Oryctolagus cuniculus: one gene and its partner. The protein of the gene in region 1 purifies or fractionates together with the protein of each later gene. This does not show direct contact. Links are inferred from orthologs where the notes say so. Each region holds a gene or a part of one and is shown in the gene's direction. Other genes may lie near its edges.

Evidence for each region.
Region 2: the proteins of HEATR3 (region 1) and TMEM186 purify together in Homo sapiens (co-immunoprecipitation; 3 studies listed by BioGRID and IntAct, counting the BioPlex papers as one, with this or other methods). This does not show direct contact. The link is inferred for Oryctolagus cuniculus from reciprocal best matches to the Homo sapiens genes HEATR3 and TMEM186.

The regions. Positions count from the first base shown.
Region 1 is NC_091449.1:33,662,822-33,666,723, forward strand, and holds the start of HEATR3 (HEAT repeat-containing protein 3), read left to right. Parts: upstream 1-1,575; 5' UTR 1,576-1,757; coding exon 1,758-1,892; intron 1,893-2,002; coding exon 2,003-2,175; intron 2,176-3,633; coding exon 3,634-3,721; intron 3,722-3,902. UniProt on the Homo sapiens protein: Plays a role in ribosome biogenesis and in nuclear import of the 60S ribosomal protein L5/large ribosomal subunit protein uL18 (RPL5). Required for proper erythrocyte maturation.
Region 2 is NC_091450.1:27,395,588-27,399,489, forward strand, and holds TMEM186 (transmembrane protein 186), read left to right. Parts: upstream 1-1,687; 5' UTR 1,688-1,809; coding exon 1,810-1,812; intron 1,813-2,421; coding exon 2,422-3,060; 3' UTR 3,061-3,889; downstream 3,890-3,902. Other genes in the region: PMM2 (phosphomannomutase 2), read right to left, coding at 1,493-1,558. UniProt on the Homo sapiens protein: As part of the MCIA complex, required for efficient assembly of the mitochondrial complex I.

The DNA.
Region 1 (3,902 bases):
ACTTCCTTGATTTGTTAGGTCAAGGCCGTATGTCCACACGGTGTCTCTGGAGCATCACCTCTCTCAGTGAGGGAAGATGACTTGGTTCCGAATTCTGGGATGATCAGTCCCTTATGTGAATTCGCCAGGCAAACCAAAAGTAACAGGAGGAGCACCGAGAAGTGGCATTATGCTTCTGGGCGGTGTGTGCCTAACCTGGGGGCACTTTGACTGAGGACAAGGACAAGGAAAGGGGGCATAGGAGGGGGTTCTGTGCTCACCCTCACAGAATCTAACAGCACACAAAACACCGAGGGGCCTACTTGCCAAAATCCAGGGGGACCTTGCAGAGTCCAACACGCTGTCTCTCTCACAGTTACATTGGGCACCAGATGTTGAGGTGGATTCCTTCTGAGAGGAGGAGCATGGTGGGGGCAAGAGGCGCAGAGTCACCACAGATCCCTGGAGCTGGGAGGCGGGAGCCGGGAGCCGGTGATAGTGGGCCAGTGGGCCAGAGGCAAGCAGCCCACAGACTCGTTTATTTCAGTTGCTACAGCAGCTTAAATAGCCAAGGCAGCCAATCTGGTCAAGGGGCGGTCTATGCCCTAACCAATCACAGCCTGTTGCCAGGCAGTTTCTGAAGCCATCCCATCACAGCCTGTTGCCAGTCAGGCTCCGTTGCCAGCAGCCATCTTGGCATGGCCTTCTCATTCCACCACAGGGGTGGAGACACCCGAACCATGCGGTCAAGGGAAGTGGAGAGAGCACCTCAGAGAAGGGAAGCGGCAGGCCCTCAGCGGCCAGAGGAGACGTCTAGGAAGCAAAAAACCCACCAACACATAGACTCGATCTTCAAGAGGATCACGCAAAGACTGCGCATGCATTTAAAAAAATTTTTTGCACCAAAATAAAATTACTTTTGAACTCCATTTTTCACAAACCTTTCATTTTTAAAAAAGGTTTTCTGTTCATTTTTATTTATTTGTAAGAGTGAGAGCTAGAGAGAAATCTTCTGGTCTTCTGGTTCAGTCCCCAAATGCCTGAAACTGTCAGGCTGGTCCAGGCCTAAGCCAGGAGCCAGGAATTCCATCTGGCTCTCCTACGTGGGTGGCAGGGGCCCAAGTACTCGAGCCATCACCTGCTGGCTCCCAGGGGTGCACTGGTAGGAAGCGGGAGCACAAGCAGTACCGTCTGGAACTGCACTCTGACACGGGACCGGGCATCCCAAGTGGCGTCCCAACCACTGTGCCGAACTTTCTGACAGACCCTGGTATCTGGCGGCTCCAAGGTTTCCTTGCACCTATCGTCGGTCATGGGGAGGCCCCAGCCTCTGCAAGCCAATCACACCTCTGTTATGCCAGTTAATGTTATTTCCTTTATTAGACAGTCGGTCTAAAGGGTAGGGTCGCCAAAGAGCAAGGTTTTCTCCCATACACACTGACCTGATAGCTATGCACCTAGGCGGACGTGAAGTCAGCATCACCATTCAACAGTCCTCTGCTTCCTTGGAAAAGCCACAGGACCCCGCCCCTCTCCCGGACAGGCCACGCCCACGCCGCTTCCACGCTTGCGCGCTCCCCGCGCCAGCCCCGCCCTCGCCGCCGACACGCGGCGCGCGTGCGCGCTGCCTCACCATGTGTGCTCGGGCCGTCAGGCGGCCCAGCTGAGCGGGGACCATCAGCAGCCCCCGGGGCGATACGACGGTACCGCCAGTCCCGCAGTCTCCGCCGCGTGCTGCTGCCCTCCTCTCTGTGGCTGTCCCCGCAGTGCACGTCGCCATGGGCAAGAGCCGAACCAAACGCTTCAAGCGACCTCAGTTCTCCCCCACCGGCGACTGTCAGGCCGAGGCGGCGGCGGCGAACGGAACTGCAGACGAGGAGGACGACGGGCCGGCGGCGGAGCTGCTGGAAAAAGTGAGGCGGGGGCTCCGCGGGGCGGCGGGGGCGGGCGCGGGCGGCCCCCCGCGGCCCCGGGGGCGCGTGCGCACTGGGCCACCTCTAACCTCCTCGTCCGCGTCCCACAGCTCCAGCACCCGAGCGCCGAGGTCCGCGAGTGCGCGTGCGCGGGCCTGGCCCGGCTGGTGCAGCAGCGGCCGGCGCTCCCGGGCCTGGCGCGCCGGGATGCGGTGCGTCGGCTCGGGCCGCTGCTGCTGGACCGCAGCCTGGCGGTCAGGGAGACGGCGGCCGGCGCGCTGAGGTGAGCCGGGAGGACGGGTGCGGGACTTTGTCGCGTGCTGTGCGTTTCGTTGCAAGGGGCTGGGGAGGGCGGAGAACCTGGCGGCGGTCTCCCGTCTGCGGGCGGGCGGGCGGGCGGGCGGGGAGGACCGACCCCGGGACTCTCTGGCCCCACGCAAGTCCCTGCGGGTGCTGCTAGACGTCCTGCCCCGCAAACCGGCGCACTTTGCTATGCTCTCCAGGAAGCTTCCTTAGGGCCCCGTGGTTGGATGATCTCTTCCACCCAGGGGTTGTAGATGCGAGGGCTCTACACGGAACAAACAACACAGCCCGGTCTTCCCAGAAGCTCTGTTGATGCGGAGACGGAAAACTAGAACAAGGTCAAGCGTGATGTTAGATAGTGAGAAGCGCTAGGCAAGCCAAGAGAGTGCTGGGCTGGGGGTGCTCTGTAGATGGCAGTGGTGAATTCAGCCTTGCAGGATGGGGAGCCAGGCGTGGGAGTATGGAGCAAGAGGGTTCCCCGCAGAGAAGTGAGACAGCGAAGGGCGTGGCGTGGCTACAGAACTGAGGGTTAGAAGGGTTAGGAGATGAGGCTGGGGAGGGATAGTAGGGTGGGGTGGGGTTTATTCTAAGAAAGGGAGAGACCTCATCCATTTACCTTTGGAAGAGGCCATTCTCTTGGTTGTGCAGAGAATGGACTGTAGAGGGGGCAAGAGTAGAAGTTAGTACTTGTAGTTCTTGTGTTTACGTTGTGCTCACTGATGTCAGCGTGCTCTGGGCATGGGGTCGTGAGTAACAGAGACTTCCAGGGACTCTCCAAGACCGCCGAAGCAGACAGGCGTTCGCCAGCTACTGCGCTGACCAGCCAGTAGCAACCACACAGGTGCTCCAGGGTTCGGGGGAGACAGACCTGAGCAGTGATGTTAGAGTTGAGGTCCGAGGAACGAGGGGCACTGACCGCTTTATGGGGACGGGGTGGACATCCCTCCCCGGCGAGGAGACACGCGCACTGTGAGCTCCTGAAGACGTGGGAGCGGCCTGACTTCTCTGCACGCTCTTCCTGCCTGGCCGTGGCTCAGGAGTGTCTTCCAGTGAAGCTTAGCCAGGGCTGAGTCAGGGCGTGTCCTCCTCAGGGGCCTCCCCTCACCGCCCTTAGCGTGTTGATGGCAGGGCAGGGTCCCTCCGTTTAGGATGTGAAGTGGGTGCCGTCGTCTTCCCTGGCCCATCCCTGTAGCCGTGTGCCTGTGTGCTTAGACCTGAGAAGCACGTGGCTGCGTGACAGTCACCTGCTCGCATCTGGTAGGACAAGGATCAGGAGCGGTGGGAAGCTCTGGACTGGTTCTGTCGCATGTGACAGAAATAGCAAACCGTGTCTCCTGGGAAACCTTAGGTCTAATGAAAGGAGAAGTAAATGTGAGTGTGGGATAGCGTTTTATGACGTGTGACTGAAAATAAAACGTGATCGAAACTTCTTGCCTAGAAATCTGAGTGCCTGTGGAGGTTTTGAAGTTTGTGACGACATGGTGACGAAGGATATCATGACTCCGCTGGTTGCGCTTCTGAAAGAGGTAGGCGCTCTCGGGGCGCGTGCATTTAGCTGAGTGCCTGGGGTGCCTGTGTCCCGCCTCGGGGTGCCTGTCTGGCTTTCATTCCCAGCTTCCTGCTGACGCAGACTGTAGAGGGCAGTGATGACGGCTCGGGTGATCTGGTTCCTGCCGCCCACTTGGGAGACCTGGGTGGAGGTCCTGG
Region 2 (3,902 bases), on another chromosome or scaffold:
ACATTTACTATACGGCTTTTCTTAAAAAATGAATTGCTGGCTGCAGTTCTAGGCCAGCATGGTTTTTTTTTTTTTTTTTTTTTTTTTTTTGACAGGCAGAGTTAGGCAGTGAGAGACACAGAAAGGTTTTCCTTCTCTTGGTTCAACCCCCAAAATGGCCGCTACGGTGCTGCGCTGATCCGAAGGCAGGAGCCAGGTGCTTCTCCTGGTCTCCCATGGGGTGCAGGGCCCAAGCACTTGGGCCATCCTCCACTGCACTCCCTGGCCACAGCAGAGAGCTGGCCTGGAAGAGGGGCAACCGGGACAGAATGCGGCGCCCCGACCGGGACTAGAACCTGGTGTGCCGGCGCCGCCAGGCGGAGGATTAGCCTAGTGAGCCGCGGCGCCGGCCGCCAGTAAGGGCTTTTAACAACCCACAGGTGTGTGCTGACTGCTGCCTCCCATGGCTGGTGTTCCTGCGACCAGTCTGTACAAGGGAGAGCCTCGCCACGAAGCTGATCGTAGCTGAAACGTACGCGCGCCCGCAGCAGGCAGATCTGAGCGCGGGGGGCACGCTTCCAAGGGTGCAGAGACTCACCAGGCTGCCTGTGACGACCTAGGACGTCCCCCCGACCCCGACCCCGACCCCGGCAGGGGCTGCACAGGGCGGGTGGAGACGGCCCGTGCTTACGGAGGCCTACTGCGAGCAGACACCTTGCATTTGGTCCTATTCGGATGACACGTAACAAGCACTGTCCCCGCTTCCGGCTGGGGCTAACTGGCCCAAGCTGAGGCTCCGCTAGGTCCTCTGGACTAGGAAATCTACACTTTCTTTCTTTAAGATTTATCTATTTGAGGGCAGAGTTGCAGACAGAGAGAGGTCGAGATAGAGAGAGGGGGTCTTCCACCCAAGGGCTCACTCCCTAAATGGCCGCAAGGGCCGCGGCTGCGCTGATCCGAAGCCAGGAGCTTCTTCCGGGTCTCCCACATGGGTGCAGGGGCCCAAGGACCGGGCCCGTCCACTGCAGCTTTCCCAGGCCATCAGCAGGGAGCCGGATCCGAAGTGGAGCAGGTGGGACTCAACCCGGCGCCCATATGGGATGCCGGCGCCGCAGGCACACGGATGTTTAACTAGTAACAGCCGCAGCGCCGGCCCGAACCCTGCGCTTTCAGCATCTCGCTCCAAGGTCCAGCCACGCGCGACGGGACGGGGAAGGTCACACAGCTGCTGAGGGGGCCTCGGCTGGGGTTCAGGGCTCGCGGCCAGAGAACGGGCTGCTTGTTCTAACCCAAGTTTCCCGACCCCGCCCTCCCTCTCCGAGCACCCCGGGATCTTGACGAGCTGCTTCAGGCCCGTCTCCCGCCGCTGGGGCACCCAGACCAAGGGCAGCCCCTGGAGGCGGGAGGCGGTCCTCAGTTGCACCCAGGCACCCAAGCTGGACGGTCGTTCGTCCCGTCTAGGAGCAGAAAGTGCTCCGTGCCGGCTGCCGCCAGCCCTCTGCGCGCCGCCTACCTGCCGCGGGGCGGTCAGGGTCCCGTCCACGTCGAAGAGGCAAAGCGCTGGTCCCGGAGCTGCCATGGCCCCCGTTTCCGTCCACACCTGAGACGACTCGTTGGCACCCGGACCTCGACCCGGAACTTCCGGGTTCGGCCCTCTTCGCCGCAGAGCACGTCGGGAAGAGACTCCCACAGCCTCCCACAATGCCCGGGGCTAGCGTCGGCCACGGACGCTACACCACAACTCCCAGCATGCAACGCGCGTAGTCCGAGCATGCGCCCTTAGAGTTTCCGGCGGCGGTGAGGTTGTATCCGGCGCCAGGGAGCAGGGCCATGGTAAGGAGGAGGGTGATGGGCTGCGTCGGGGTCGGAGCCAGTGTTGGGGCAAACAGGCAGGAATCCTGAGCTTCTGGTTTGTTGGGTCCTGGGGCGATTGCCCCGATGTGGGTTACGATGTGCTCCTCCACGGCTTGCTGTGGTCTTGCGGGGTCACGTGGGCCAGCAGCGGTGCTAGCGAGCCTCGCGGGGGTGCTCAGGGTGGGCCCCGAGCAGTCGGCGCTGCTTATCCGTGCGCTCCCCATCCATGGATTCACTCAGCTGCCGAGACAGCTGCGTCTGTGCGGAACGCCTACGGGCTCTTGCTACTCCCAAAGGAATCCCCCATAACCACTCTTTACGCCGCGTTTCCATCGTAGTAGTGGTATAAGGTATCACACAAACACTGTGCCATTTTGCATAAGAGACGTGAGCCCTCTGGTTTGGGTGTCTTGTCGTGCATCCCGGAACCAAGCCCCTGCCGGTGCTGATGCACAGTGGTGCTGCGTTTACGGCGTAAAAACCGTTGTCTCGTTCAGTGTGTTCTGAGTGCCCGTTGGTAAAGCCTAACGAACTCACGCAGGTGGAAGCCGAGTTCTGAGAGGAAACGGTCTCTTGTCTCCCTTCCAGGCTGCCCTCCTCCGAGCTGTGCCCAGGTGGCGGGGGCCGGCCGCCTGGGGAAAGCCCCTCTGCGGGCTGTGGTCCTGCGGTGGGCGAGAGGATCCCAAGAGGTGGGTGCGGAGCAGGTCTCCCGGTTCCGAGGAGAAAGCCCCGGGCACAGAGACCGAGAAGTTCCAGATGGTCTACCGTTTCGATGCCATCAGAGCGTTTGGGTACATATCTCGGCTGAAGGTGGCGCAGACGGCCCTGACGCTGGTGGCTCTGCCGCCCGGCTTCTACTGGTACTCCCAGGGCCTCATGCCGCTCGACTCGCTGTGCCTGGTGGGTGGCATAGCTGGCTTCGCCCTGGCCATGCTGTGCTGGATGAGCCATTTCTTCCGCAGGCTCGTAGGCATCCTGTATGTGAACGAGTCGGGCACCGTGCTGCGGGTGGCTCACCTCACCTTCTGGGGCTGGCGACAGGACACGTACTGCCCCGTGGCGGACGTGGTCCCCCTGACGGAGACGAGGGACCGGCCCCACGAGGTGTTTGTGCGCATCCAGCAGTACAGCGGGAAGCAGACCTTCTACCTACCTCTGCGCTACGGGCGCGTCCTGGACAGAGAGCGCTTCACACAGGTGTTTGGGAGACTGGACTCGCTCAAGTGATCAGCTGGGCCTCTGGGAAGCCCTGGGCCCCTTGGGTCACTAACCAAGAAGGCTGAGGGTGTAGACGAGGCCGAAGGAGGGAATCGGGCCCCTAGAGACTGTCAGAACCCTGGGAGTTTGTCTTTTCGGAAGAACACAGAAATTCGGACCCAGGTTTACGGGAAGGCGCCCGAGTGCGGATTCTTCCTGCACTTGCGCGTGCTGTTCTTGCAGATAATGGCCAGGAGGTTCTGTTCGGATCCAGTTCTTGGAGGAAGCTATGCCACGGTCACCCGGACAGTTCACGGGTATTTGGAAGACAGATGTGGGAGGAGCACAGGGTTTGGGGTGCTGTCAGCTCGCTGTTCTGGGCAGCTGACGGAGTCTGTGTGAGCCTTGGTTTCTCACGTCTGTCAAACGGAAAGTTCTTTCTGTCTCGTGGGCTGGATGTCAGAACACACAGTAAACATGCAAGGCCGTAGCCCTGGGCGACTGGGAAGCGTCTGCTCAGAGGTGGTGGTCGGGGCTTTCAGGCAGCGCGCGGGAGCCCTGTGTTCTGCCTCTCCATGCACCCCTTAGCAGAAGAGTGGGACGAAGCGTGGCGGGGGCATTGCACCCTCCCAGGATGGTAACTGCACCCCGAGTGAGGCGCGACGCCCCAGCTGAGATGTTCCGCACCCACAGGCCGAGGCCGTCCCGCTGCGTCATGGAGCCAGATGGGTGTGTGTAGTGCTCTACCTCTGCGTGTTGCCTCCCGTGATCGGTGTGTGTGTCGGCCACGTAGCTTGTAGCAGGGTAAAGGTCTTCGTGATTTTGCCACGCATAAGTCAATAAATTTCGTATCACCTCTGTTTTCATTGTCA